Struthio camelus: one gene and its partner. The protein of the gene in region 1 purifies or fractionates together with the protein of each later gene. This does not show direct contact. Links are inferred from orthologs where the notes say so. Each region holds a gene or a part of one and is shown on either strand. Other genes may lie near its edges.

Region 1 (7,283 bases):
AGTAAACTATTTGCTATGATACTAATAATTCATGGCAATGCATTTTCTTGGTGCTTGATTTCATGAACTGTGCTATAACCAAAGTTAAGTATTACACTGAGGTGCTACATCAATTTACAGCCTAAAAAAATCTGCTTTGCTAATAGTTTTATGGTATATTTTTTCCTTTTTATGATGACAAAAATGAATAACTTGAAACAGAATATATGGTTTTATGTAGCATTCAATTACACTTTAGCAGTATTCAATCCCAATGTTATAAGCAGTTTGTATTTAAATCAGTTTTGCTTGGGGATAATATCTGATATGACATTTCAAGTAATTAGATGATTGCATTGTCTAAAAGATAAATAAAAAGGTAATATTTGTTAATACCGTTCATTGTCTTTTTGTCTCTTTGTTAATAACAATAGGCATATGAATGAGAACAGTGTATTTCTAGCATAACTGAGATACACACGTTCAACAAATTGTTTAGGTAGAAGAGTGAAAGACTGAATTTAGACCTAATCTGAACCACTCAGTAGCTAAAACTGCAGTGTGTTGTTGTTGTTATTGTCTAGGCATTTACATTATTATCTGCTCAGGAGCATCCAAGTTCTGATGCAGGCTGATCATTGCCTTTAACAGATGCTTCCTAACAGAAATACACAATTCTCTCATTCACACTCACAGTTAAAAAGCATCTTTCAACCCAGAGTTCTAACACCTGGTACGCTATGTCTGTTTTTTTGGTATAGGAATGGCCCATGAGTGTATTTCTGGTTTTGGATTTGGGGCATGGATTTTTCTTTAAATGAGAGCCTTTGTTCTTTAAGTTGCATTTTCCTATTTTAGATCCTTTTACTGTTGAAGAAAATTAGCGGTACATCTATCCCTGTTCAGTGTTCGCTTGGTCTGTATGTATCATCACATGATCTGGGTAACTTCAGCTCTTCAATATACCCATCATCACAGCATCTCTGCTACTCGCTCTTTTTTACAGGTAGGAAACAGAATGAAATCATTGTAATTTTCTGTCTACCTGTCAGATGAGAATCTGGCCTTTGGTGACTTGTTCATGATTGCATAAGATGTTTACGGCAGAGCAAAAATTGAAGCAACATCTTCCACGGTTCTTGCTTGCACTGTAACAGCGGTACCTCCCTTCCTCTGCTTAAGTCTTTACAGTTTATAAGTATAAAGAATCTACAGCCTATTTTTAACGTAGAAAGTGTCACCATGGTCTGAATTTAGAGTTTAGGTATGCAGCTGTGGGTGTTCAAATATTTATATATTCCATAAAATGGAAATAAACACCTCAGCAAGATATGTCTGCAGAAATGGTCATCTTTGATGTTTTCAAGGTGTTATTACCACTACTATTTAAGAGAACTTTATCATCTAAAGGAGAAACTGAATTCCATTTGTATAAGTAACATGGAAGCAGGACTAAAATGGAAGAATGATTTCTGACATTGGGAAAGTACCACTTAAAAGAGATCAGCTGTAGGGCTGTTTTGTTTTGTTTTTTTAATTTGCAAAAGTTTATATTTAAAAAGTTACTATAAAGATTTCTGGAGTTATAAAGAGCTCATAAAACAAATGTCTGACCACTATTACAAACCTCTTTTTAAGAGTTTGTGTCCAGAATTTCATCTGTGGAATACATTGTTTTATGTTTTTGGATGATCATGATTTTGGATACAGGAGATACTTGGCTTCTGAGGAGGTAATTCACACTGGACAGAAATAACATAATATGGGAACATCCATCAAAAAATAAATCAGATTTGTTATCTAACATCTAAGAAAACAAATACGTTATGTTCATTTAGAAAGACATCAGAAGATAAATTACAAGAACTTGTTTGGGGTATGATTTTTTAAAGTTAACTTAAAGAACAAAGTGCACTGTATTTACTTGGTCAAAATTACACAGGATGTGATTAGTATGATGTTTGCAATCAACCTGAAAAGAGAAGCATAGTGATGTAAATCTAGATTTGCCAATCCAAGTATTCGATCCAGGTCCTACTGCACCAGAAACAACGTGGTTCAGACTGTAAGTATGTTTAATCGCAAATTTGTTCAAGAATGTTTTTAGCAGTTGCACTAGTAGCCTGGTGAAACATTTAAGGTGAAGACGGTAATACACAATATCATGTCCAGGCTGACAAAACCCGTGGGGAATGCCTGTAAGTTTTGCCAAGTGACTGCAAGACTTGTGGTTTTTTTCTGTTGTAGCAACATGACAGATGGTAGCGAGTCTGTCATTTGCTGTGCTTCCCTGACATCCTTCACTATGAATTAAATGTTGAGGGACAGAAGGGTCTGAGTCGTCTTTTGCACCAATGTATATGTTTATTTGTCATAAATTAGCACCGTGAGACCAGCGGAGTTATTTTAATGGCAAAAGAATCTAGACACAGTGACTGCAAATAGAAATAGTATGAATAAGTAGCTTCTATAAATGTAAAATAACAGGAAATTGTTGAGCAACAGAATCAGGCCATAAGTGTGCATACATATAATTACTTCAAAGATGTTACAAACAGCCCTCTAGTTGTGCCCTACCAGTGTTTTTTTTATCAACAGGTTTCATTAAATGGAACAAATAACAAAACATAATAATTAATTTGTCCTGTCACAGTGGATATTATCTGTCCCATTGCCCCACATACACAGCAGGAGCAGAATCAATTAACTTGACCTATTTACTAAATATATATACAAAGAGAAAAATAATAAAAATAATAAATAAAGAGAAATACAACTGTGCTTTCCTACATAATAATCCATGCAGGAGGCATAGAAACAAGCCAGTGTTTTTCTTTTTAAATAACCAGGCTGCTCAATGACAGCTTTCACAATACTTTAAACTACTACTCCCTTGAGTATGCAATTACCAAAGTATTAATTACATCAGGCAGAATACATCTTTTGCCAGCAGTGCAAGATGCAGAGCACTCTCTGCTGTCATGAGAGCTGTGGATGTGCCTTCTCTGCATCTCTCAGAAGGAGGACAGTCGCCGTCCTGGATAATTACACCCAAGCCAGAAGAAGTGGCCTTCTAATATTTTTACGTGGGTATGTTGCGTTACGCCAATCATGCGCAGCTGGTGTTTCACAGGAATTAGTCTGTTTTTATGCCTTCCATCATGCCAGTGTGCGAAACGCGTTCACCGTTTCTTGTAAAATACTTGTTCAAAGCCGCACAGCAAGCCTGGAGCACGCTACTGCTCTCGGTGCAACCCTCCCTCTCCGGTCAGCGAAGCACCTAAGCTCCCTTGCACCTGAGCGAGGGCGAACCCAAAACGCTGCCTTAAATGGGCTATTCGCATTCTTCTGGAGCAAACACTTGTGGCAGAGTTTGGATTTAGCGAGGTGTCCGTGTGCCGGACGCCCCAGGGAAATCTCCACCTGGAGAACAGCACAGCATGGTGTCTGCTTCTGCAACGACCCCGTTGCCTGCGTAAAGCCCTTCGTTTCTCTTTCCCGGGCTGACATTTTGAGATACCTTTATTCTAATTTTTCCAGTGACACTACCAGACTGGATTAGGATGAACTACAGAATACAATTTTAAGTTTTCCCCCTTTCAAATAGACATATTCTTAAGTGCCATGCCTGAAATCACTGATTTAAAGGAGGGCAAATAATAGAAGCACGCTACCTAACATGTTTTTCCCCCAGTGGAAAGACAGAGATCTCCTCCTGCAACAGGGTATTTCACAAGCTAAGGAACCCGACTCGGCCGCCTCAGGTGTCGCCTGGGCCCGTGCTGCGCTCCCGTGTTTGCCTCCTCTCGGCAGCGCCGGCTGAAACGACACTCAAGTAGGTGACAGCTTTTAAAACACTTTCAGTTGGTGCAAATTCGGAGTTTCACGCCTGAACTATTGGACGCTATTAAAAAGAAACAGGTGGAAGCAAGCCATCCCCTAACGTGCAATAAAAGTATGTTAAATACATGGCCTAAAACCTCGTGAGAAGTCCTTTTAAAGCAAATCCATTTGCCGGAAAGGGGCGCAGGGCCAGCGGGCGGGCCCAGCCCGCTCCCTGCACCGGCATCTCGCTCGGTTTAACCCTCCTCCGCTTCAGCGTTTTGCGTGCGCACCGTGGGGGGGGGGAGGGGGGGGAAACGGCTCTACCGGTCACACGTGAGCGCCAAAGGGCAACAAGGAAAACGTTGTTCGCCACGCAGCGCCCGACGCCGCGCACGCGCCCCAGGGCCGCGGGCACGCGCCCCCCCCCCCGCGCCCTCCCCCGGGGCGGCGCGGCCCCGCCCAGGCGCGCGGGGAGATGACGTCAGGGCGCGGCGGCGGGCCGGCGGCCATGGTGCGCGGCCGCTGAGAGCGGGCGGTGCGGGGCCGAGCGGCAGCGGCGGCGGCAGCATGTCGGGGCCGAGCGCCGTGTCGGACCCCCAGCACCCGGCGCGGCTGCTGCGGGCCCTCAGCTCCTTCCGCGAGGAGAGCCGCTTCTGCGACGCGCACCTGGTGCTGGAGGGGGAGGAGATCCCGGTGCAGAAGAACATCCTGGCGGCCGCCAGCCCCTACATCAGGTGCGGCGGGAGCGGGGCCGCGCGGGACGACGGACGGCCCGGCCCGGCGCCGTGACTCGGCCGGGAGCGGCGGGTGCTGGCGGTGGGGCCCCGCCTGCCCTTGGGCGCCGCCGAAACGCGGCCCCCCCCCCCCCCCGGGCCTTTCTCCCCCCCCCCCCGGCGGCGAGCGGGGCCCCCCTGTCGGCGCTGGGCTCCGCGTCCGCCGGAGGCGCCAAGTGAGGCCGGCGCTTTGGTGGGGGTTTTGTTGTTGTTTGGGTGGGTTTTTTTTTTTAATGAGTGGGTTTTTTTTTCCTTCTAACAACACCTAAGGCTCCAGGCGGTGGTGACGGATTCCGAAATACACCCCGTCTTAAGTGTGAAGAAACTGTACGGGTTTATTCCCCCCCCCCCCCAAAAAAAAAAAAATCTCCTCTTTTTTTTATGCCCTCACAAATACGTGCGAATCTACCTCAGAAACTGCCAGCGGCATCAAGCCAGGTCCGCGCAGGTCCGCGGGCGTCAGCGGCACGTGCGGCCCGAGCCGAGCCAGAGGAGGACCAGCAGCGTTCAGCACAGTCATGGTGCCCCGGGGGCCGGCGCGCCCTTTGCCCTGGGCCGAACTTCCAGGGCAACCCGCTCCCCGGGCAGCGCTGTCGGCTCTCCTGTACGCTCAGCGGTGAAGGCGCCAATGGCGTAAAATAGAAAAAGCATACCCCGGTGGGAAGATTTTCATAGTACGGATCTGAGAGAGTGAATGAAACGTACAGGGGTTGAGTTCCATAGTTTTATTGTTTCTCTTTTTTGATAGGTCTTAGCAATTGCAGGTAATGGAGACTTTAATTTTGCCTTAGCATGTGAAGGACTGCACCCCTCGGTTTTACTTACACCTAGGGTTATCGTAAGACTGTAGCAGACGTCGGCCGTGTAATTCTGCGTGCTTTTAGGCTGTGTGATATTTTTGAGTGATGATTGTAGCAGAGCTTCGACATTCTTAAGTACAAAAATAAACTAGGAATGAATAGAACGTAAAGTTGGTGATTAAGCTTTAAATAGATGTCAGTAATGGACAGGCTTAAAGGAAAGGTTTTCTGATATTTCAAATCTAAGCGCCTGATTTTTCCATAGTACACGGACTAGCGTTATGCATCAGCTAGCAGGGCTGAGGGGTAAAATGAAATAAAATTCACGGAAATAAGAAGAGCAGCAAGGACCTGCAAAATGACACTAAAAAGCTGAAGTACTAGTAGTCATTTTTTCAATTCCTGTCTTGAGAAGCAGTTATGGAAGACTATATTGAAAGGCTAATCAGAGACATGAGGTTGAAATAAATATGAGCAGTTGATCCAGTACTCTTCAAAAATGCCAGAATGTTTTTTAGCTTGTTTTTTGTCATTACGAATCTTTTAGATGGCCCTGCATCATATCTGAAGTTAGTGTCCTAACAAAGACTCCTTGGCTGAGAAAAAAGGTTTGGTTTAGGTGGAAAGAGGCCATGTCTTGGAAAAACTGCTACTTTACTGTAATTATTGTATGGGTTTATATGAACTGTGTAATCTTTTGCTACGAAAAAGGCTACTTAATTAAAAGATATCATAAATTATTCTACAGAAAAGTTCCTTTTCACAGAATCTCCTCTTTAAGTATTGCATTCTGTCATTCACCTCTGAAAAATTTACTAGGAAACCTGAGCTAATAAAGCACACGCGAAGAGTCAGAGTGCCAAACATGACTGTTTTGTTGTTGTCAGTGTAGTTATTAGAGTTGTGGTGTTTTAAACTTAAAATCTTTCAAGTTCAGATGCCATCAAGGAACTCATTAACTATGTGTGAAGTAGGTTACACGTATTGATATATAAATGGGATTTTTTTTTAAGCTTACTCATCTTTTCTCCTTGGGCTTGCAACATGTAGTGAGCCATAAATAACACATACCAGATTTTTTTTTTATGGCATATAAACTCATCTGTCTTACCTATCTTTGCAGAGCCTAGTTTTTACCTGTGCTGCTTGTCTCTCCTCTTTCCACCACTCCAGGATCTCTTTCTTATTCCAGCTGCTCTTTCCATTGAGTAGAATTGGTTGGGTTGGTTGCTGGTATTGGAGAATTAAGTTTCTAAGCCAAAATTAGCATTCCAGTGACTCTTTTTAGAGCCAAAAATCACCGTTAGCCTGTCCCTAGTTTCTGCAAATATTTAGTCCCATTTCTTTTGAGTCTTTTTTTTAATAGAATGAGTGTGTGGTTTTTTTTTTTATTTTTTTAAATCTAAAAAGTTATTAGAGGAGACTCATGAATCTTATGTTGCAGACTAGATGATTCCAAAGCATGCTTTGGTACTTTGGTACCTTGGTACCAAAGCTGTTTAAGTCTCCAAGGTCTGTTTAAGTCTCCAAGTATCAATTGATTTCCGTTGCTTTCATTTGAAAGTTCCAAAATAAAACTCAGAAAATCTAGTAACTAATTTCAGAAATATTATTGGGTGGAGAAATGGGTGGGTATGGGATATTTACCCTTAGCAGTGGAGCAGTGGCAGGACTAGTTGGCGCTCTGCTTTCTGTTTCTGGCTCTGGCTGTGGGCAAGTTGGTGGGCAAGTTGAGAAGCTGTGTAGGGTTTGCATGAACGCTTAGTTTAGGGTGTGAGCGGGAAAATAAGTAAGCATGGGATTTTCTGAGGGGGCGGCTTGGGTGTGAGCAGAGTCTGTACGCTGAGGGATTTGTGTGGCCACAGAGAGAGGAGCGTTACCTGTTTTTTAGTTTTGCATGGAAGTT
Region 2 (6,897 bases), on another chromosome or scaffold:
AGCTGACCCCAGCGAGGAGATAGCATTTTCTCCCGAACGAGTCAAGGGAAAGGACATCAAAGCAGAGCCCTGTTGCTTCACCCCAGATTTCAGGCATTTGCACAGCACACCTCAAAACCGAATAAGCCAACTCAGTTTGGTCCACAGAGGGAACTGAGCCCACCTGCTCCCTGCAACAGTACCAGACTCCAACACTTCACTCTTTCTTAGGGAGGTGAAGCAACGGTATGACAAGATATAATTCCACCCTCAAGTTTGCTTCTAGCCGTTCAGAGCAGACGCTGTGACCATCTAGGGCAGGCTGGAGGTTAAAAGGCAAATCTGCCACATGGACAGAGCAGCCTAGCAGCGCCGAAGCCGACGGAGGTACGACGACTATGGATCTGTGCCCCCACCTCCTCCTCAGAGCTAAAACTCCTTCCAGTCAACAGAGAACCGTGCAACTCGTCAGGGTAAACACCCGCCCTGGGCTAGAAAGCAAGCGAGAGTCAAATACAGTCCTCGCTCCCTTCCCTACACTGCCGGGGAACACTTCCGAGCCGACTTCAGCGCTTTCCGCTTCCCGCAGGAGACCGATCCTAGGCCGGGGACCAGGCACACCCAGGCCAGCCAGGGCGTGCAGCAGCACCGGCAGATCTGATTTCTTCCTCTGTGTTCGGTACTTGTAAGGCAAGGGGGGGCAGTGCGGGGAGGCCTCACACGAGTGCTGTTACAGCAGGACACGCGCAGCGTCACATTGGGTCTGCCTTATTCCCCTTAACCAGAGCTTGTTCCCTGCTCAGGGAAGAGGCCTGCGGGACAAAGCAGCCCGAGAGAAGGGAGAGGAGGGAGATGGACATTTGTCCCACTCCTCTCCCTTTGAGATCCCTTTCTTTTTCCCCACTCCTCCGTGTCCCGGCTTTCCTCAGTGCCCACCCCCAGCTCCTTCTCTCGAGCTCACAGCCTTTTTTTCCTGCGCCCACCCCGCCGGCAGCGCCCGCTCAGCCTGGCAGCGAGCTGATGAAAATAGCCCCGCGGCTGCTCCGAGGGCGGCAGCTGCTCTGCGACCAGACCCCGGGCAGGAGCGGGTGAAGCCAAGATCAGTCTAAAGGGCAAATATCCCAAACGGAGAGATATCGCCCTCCCCGAGAGAGGTCAAGGCACGGCATTACCTTACATCTCCACAGGAATCCCAGGCCATGACTCAAACGTGCTATTCATAGACCGTTTCCCCTGACCCGCCACCAAAAACGAAGCTCAAAGCAGCCTGAGGCAGATCACCCAGGGTGACACCTCAAACCCATCTCCTTCCCCTCGGGCTACAGCCAAAGCCCCGAGCCAGGAGAGGGGACAAAAAGTCCCTCTGAAGCACCCCACACCACCCTATGCCTCGAGCAGTCTCTTCACTCCAGACCCTCATGGCTAGGGCCAGGGAGCAAGCAAACGGCAGCCTCAAATAACATCTCTCTCGGGAGAGAAATACTTAGGTTACAGCGTTGTGGTCTCCCTCCTTGCACACAAGCCCAAAACAGTCCCTGGGGAAAACGTGAGAGCCACCACAACAGCTAAGCGGCAAAGGCCCGCGGCAGGGTGCAACCCTGGGCGACAGGGACACGCCAGCCGGGGGGTCGGCGACACAGGCTCCCTCCCGCCGTGGGCCACCCCAGGGTGGGCGCAGGGAGAGGGAACGGGGTCTCGCATCGGCCTGTCTGCCACCGCTTCGTGTCCACGGGCTGCCAGAGCTGGGAAGAAGCCCTAGTCTGAGCAGATGAACACCTCCACCAAGCCAGGCCCCCATCTCTCTCAGCCCTTTTCCTCCTTCCTAATAAAGATTAATAACAGACTGCGACAGCCTTGAGTCAGAGACCTCTAGCGCTCAGTTTTCAAAATACCAAGCCCAGCCCAGCTCAGCTGTGGAAACAAGAGTTTGGAGCATTTGCCGTCTCTCTGACTGCTACCAGCAACGCAAAAAGGCCCTGCCCTCCACGTGACATCCACAGTCTCTTCTCGCTTTTTCCTGCTACCCAGGAGCCCCAGCTCCCGCAGTTTGGGTCAGCAGCATCTGGCGAGCCCTAAAGCGAACCCCACTTGCCCAAAGTGCTGCTGGCAGTTGCCTTCTTCGCCTGTTGCCCTCGACACTGCCTGAGCTCCGAGAGGGCATCAGGCCCCAGCTCCTCCCGCGAAGGCCTCACAGGCCCTGCCTGCCCTTTGGGGCTCCTTGTCCTCTTGTTAAGGGCGATCCTTGCCATCCACTCCCCCATCAATCTGCCAGGACACCTCTCCCACCTTGCCCCTGCTCCTCTGAGGAACAGCAAGGAGCATACTAGGCAGCAGCAGCAAGCTGGAGCTTTACTGTGTGGCCTCCTGGTCTCGGGGTCCCCCACCTTCCTGGGTCTTGCCCCACAGGCTGCTGCTACAAGGCAGGTCCAGGCAGCCACCCTCTCCCCTCCGGCTCCAGCACCGGGTGAGACATCCACCCCTGCAAAGACGGCGGGGACCGTCGCTCCGCAAACACGCCTGCAAAGCTCAACGGGAAGGACAACAGCAACCGACGGGGCCTTCAGGCCTCCCTGCCCGACAGCCCGGCCCGGCCGCCGACCCTCCCGAGGCCACCGGCCACCCTGAGGCCTCCAAGGCCTCGGGGCCGGCTCGGAGGGCAGGGCCGCGGCGGGGGGCGCTCTCGGGGGCCCTCAGGCGCCGAGCCGGGGCGGGGGGCCGCGGCGAGGCCCGGGGCCGCCCCGCCGGTACCTGGAGGGCCATGGCCTGGGCGGCGCCGGGCGGGAAGCCCAGGCGGTCGCCGGGCCGCAGCAGGAGGCGGTAGAAGTCGGTCTTGCGGTAGAGGAAGCCGAAGAGGACGCGCAGGAACTCCTCCACGTTGCCGACGTGCTGCAGGATGCCGAGCAGCGCTTGGTCGTACATGTCGGTCAGCGCCGCCGCGGCCTCCATGGCGGCTCCGGCCTTCGCCCCCCCCGCCGCCGCCGCCGCCGCCGCTGTCACGGCAACCGGGCCCGGCGGGCGCTTCCGGTCCGCCCCCGACAGCGCCCCCCGCGCTTCCGCCAGCGGCCCGCCGCCCTCAGCGGCCCGTCCGGAAACCGTTCCCTCCTCTCCCCCCCCCGCCCTCCCGCTCCGCGCGGCAAGGTTCCGAGGCAGCGAGCGCGGAGGCCGAGCTAGACCGCCGCCGCCCCACGTGACGGCAGGCGAGGCGGCAGGCGCCATCTTGGTTGTGGGCAGTCGGGCGGGCGCGGTCGGGGGTCGCCGCCGCCATCCCCGCGGCCCCATGGCGCCCCGCGGAGCCCCCGGGGAGCCGGGAGCCCCCGCCGCCGTCCAGGGCCTCCCGCCGCCCGCCGTGGCCGGCAATGGCGGTGCCGGGTGCCCCGGGGACAGGCCCGGCCAGCGCCTCCCACGGGGCCCCGGCCCCAGGGGTCAGTGCCCCCCCCCTCCTCCGGCCCCATGGACCCCTCGGGGTCCCGCGGTGCCCGTGGGGTCCCCCCGCCCTGCCCCACAGTGCCGCAGGAGCCCCCCAGCCCCCCCAGTGCCGCCTGAGCCCCCCCCAGCCCCCCAATAGTGCCAATGGGACCCCCCCAGCCTCCAAGATACCTAGTGGGACCCCCTAACCCCCCGATAGTGCCAGTGGGACCCCCCAGCCCCCCAAGAGACCCAACGTGACCCCGCCAGCCCCCCAATAGTGCCAGTGGGACCCCCCAGGCCCCCAAGAGACCCAATGTGACCCCCCCAGCCCCCCAATAGTGCCAGTGGGACCCCCCAGCCCCCCAAGAGACCCAATGTGACCCCCCCAGCCCCCCAATAGTGCCAGTGGGACCCCCCCAGCCTCCAAGATACGTAGTGGGACCCCCTAACCCCCCAATAGTGCCAGTGGGACCCCCCAGCCCCCCAAGAGACCCAATGTGACCCCCCCAGCCCCCCAATAGTGCCAATGGGACCCCCCCAGCCTCCAAGATACCTAGTGGGACCCCCTAACCCCCCAATAGTGCCAGTGGGACCCCCCAGCCCCCCAAGAGACCCAACGTGACCCCGCCAGCCCCCCAATAGTGCCAGTGGGACCCCCCAGGCCCCCAAGAGACCCAATGTGACCCCCCCAGCCCCCCAATAGTGCCAGTGGGACCCCCCAGCCCCTCAATAGAGCCAATGGGACCCCCCCAGCCCCTCCAAGAGAGCCAGTGGGACCCCCTAGCCTCCCAGTAGAGCCAATGGGACCCCTCAGTCCCCCCAAGAGACCCAGTAGGACTCCCCCAACCCCCCAATAATGCCAATGGGACCCCCTAGGCCCACAAGAGAGACAATAGGACCCCCCAGCCCCCCCCAAGAAAGCCAGTGGGACCTCCAGCCCCTAATAGAGGCAATGGGACCCCCCAGACCCACCAAGAGAGCCAGTGGGACCCCCCAGCCCCCAATAATGGCAATGAGACCCCCCCAGCCCCCTGATAGTGCCAATGGGACCTCCCCCAGCCCCCTCAACCCCCCCAATAGTGCCAATGGGTCCCCCTCCAGCCCCCCAATAGTGCCAATGGGACCCCCAAGCCCCCCAAGATACCTAGTGAGACCCCCTAACCCCCCGATAGTGCCAGTGGGACCCCCCAGCCCCCCTAAGAGACCCAGTGGGATCCCTCAGCCCCCCAATAATGCCAATGAGCCCCCCCCAGGTCCCCAAGAGACCCAGTGTGACCCCCCAGTCCCCCAATAGTGCCAGTGGGACCCCCCAGCCCCCTAAGAGAGCCAGTGGGATTCTCCCCAGACCCCAATAGTGCCAATGGGACCCCTCCAGCCCCCCCAAGAGACCTAGTGGGACCCCCTAACCCCCCGATAGTGCCAGTGGGACCCCCTAGTCCCCCAAGAGAGCCAGTGGGACCTCCCCCAGCCCCCCCAGCAGTGGAGCACCGCGTGGGCCCACCCCAGCGGCAGCCAGACAGTGGGACGCGGTGGGGCCCAGCCAGCCTTTATTTTGGGGAGGGGGAAGGGGGAAAAAGGGGGACAGGGACACGGCCACGGGCACCCCTCGTGGGCGGTCACTTCTTGACCTTGCCCTGGGCGGCCACGGCCTCCATGGCCTTGCGCACGGTCTCCTCGTCGCCCAGGAACTGCATGGGCTTGGTGGGTTTCAGCGCCGCGTCCAGCTCGTAGACGATGGGGATGCCCGTGGGCAGGTTGAGCTCCATGATGGCCGCGTCCGACATCCCTGCGGCGCGGCGTTGGGGGACAGGGACGTGCGCGTCAAGCCGGTGGTCGGTGGGGACGCCCAGATCCCCCCCCCAACCCAACCCAACCCGACCCAACCCAACCTGACCCAACCCAACGCAACCCGACCCAACCCAACCTGACCCAACCCAACGCAACCCAACCGGCTTCGGGGAGGGGGGAAACCTGAGCCGGCCGGGAAAGAGGAAAGGCCAGAGGAGCTGGAAATAGCCTTGACCTTCAGCGGCAGGGGGAACGGAGACCCAGCACCCGCGGGGGCCGCCGGCAGGGTGGCTGGCACCCACCTTCGAGGTGCTTGACGATGCCGCGGAGGCTGTTGCCGTGCGCGGCGATGAGCACCCGCTTGCCGGCCTTGATCTGGGGCACGATGTGCTCGTTCCAGAAGGGCAGAGCCCGGGCGATGGTGTCCTTGAGGCTCTCGCAGCTGGGCAGCTCGCCGGGCTTGAGCTCGGCGTAGCGCCGGTCCTGGGGGGGGGGTCACCGTGCCGCCCCGTTACCCTCCTGCTGTCCCCCTCTCTCCCCTCGTCCCCTTCCCTCCGTGTCGCCCCGTGTCCACGTTCCCCTCCTGTCCCCATGTCTCCTATCCCTGTTCCTGCCGTGTCCCTCCCATGTCCCGATATCTCCCCACGTCCCCCCATGTCCTCATATCCCCCCGTGTCCCCCCGTGTCCACATCCCCCCCATGTCCCCATATCTCACGTGCTCCCACGTCCCCATTCCCGTGTCCCCCATCTCTGTTCCCTCCGTGTCCCCCCTTATCCCTCCATGTCCCCCTATCCCCCATGTCCCCCATGTCCATGTTCCCCCCATGTCCCCAATCCCTGTTCCCTCCGTGTCCCCCCATATCAGTCTGTGTCCCCATATCCCCCCATGTTCCCCATGACCCCCCGTGTCCCTCCATGTCCATGTTCCCCCCATGTCCCCATATCCCCCCATGTCCCCTCATGTCCACGTTCCCCCCATGTCCCCATATCCCATGTCCCCCCATCCCTGTTCCCTCCATGTCCCCCCGTGTCCCTATATCGCCCCACATCCCCCCATGTCCCCATATCCCCCCGTGTCCCCCCATGCCCTCAAGCCCCCCCATCCTCATTCCCTTGCGTTCCCATTCCTCCATGTCCCTGTCCCCTCACGTCCCTTCCTGTCCCCATGGCCTGATGTGGCTGTGGGGGGGGGACAGGGTGCGAGTGGGGTTGTGGGGGCACGTGGGGGCACGTGGGGCTGCAGGCAGGATTGCATGTAGGGTGCAGAGACGGGTGCAGGCAGGATATGGGGGCTGGGGGGGTGCAGACACCGCTGGGGGTGCAGGCAGTGGTGCAGGGGGTGCTCAGGCAGGATATGGGTGCAGACACGGGTGCAGACATGGGTGTGGGGGGTGCAGGCAGGGCTACGGGTGCAGACACGGGTGCAGCGGGGGTTGTGGGGGGGCGCAGGCAGGGCTGCGGGTGCAGATAGGGCTGCGGGGGGGTTACAGGGGGTTGCAGACACGGGTGCTGGGGGTGCAGGCAGGGCTGTGGGTGCAGACACAGGTGTTGGGGGCTTACGGGGGGTGCAGACACGGGTGCAGGGAGGTGCAGGGGGGGTGCAGGCAGGGCTGCAGGTGCAGGGGGGGTGCAGGGGAGCAGACATGGGTGCAGGGGGGGTGCAGGGGGTGCAGGCAGGGCTGCAGGAACAGACACGGGTGCAGGGGGAGCAGACATGGGTG

Evidence for each region. Proteins that work in one complex are often made in the same cells at the same time.
Region 2: the proteins of GAN (region 1) and NUDCD3 purify together in Homo sapiens (co-immunoprecipitation; 3 studies listed by BioGRID and IntAct, counting the BioPlex papers as one, with this or other methods). This does not show direct contact. The link is inferred for Struthio camelus from reciprocal best matches to the Homo sapiens genes GAN and NUDCD3.

The regions. Positions count from the first base shown.
Region 1 is NC_090951.1:6,219,733-6,227,015, reverse strand, and holds the start of GAN (gigaxonin), read left to right. Parts: upstream 1-4,275; 5' UTR 4,276-4,371; coding exon 4,372-4,538; intron 4,539-7,283. UniProt on the Homo sapiens protein: Probable cytoskeletal component that directly or indirectly plays an important role in neurofilament architecture.
Region 2 is NC_090968.1:1,537,473-1,544,369, reverse strand, and holds the start of NUDCD3 (nudC domain-containing protein 3), read right to left. Parts: upstream 3,015-6,897; 5' UTR 2,926-3,014; coding exon 2,728-2,925; intron 1-2,727. Other genes in the region: PGAM2 (phosphoglycerate mutase 2), read right to left, coding at 5,004-5,173, 5,478-5,658.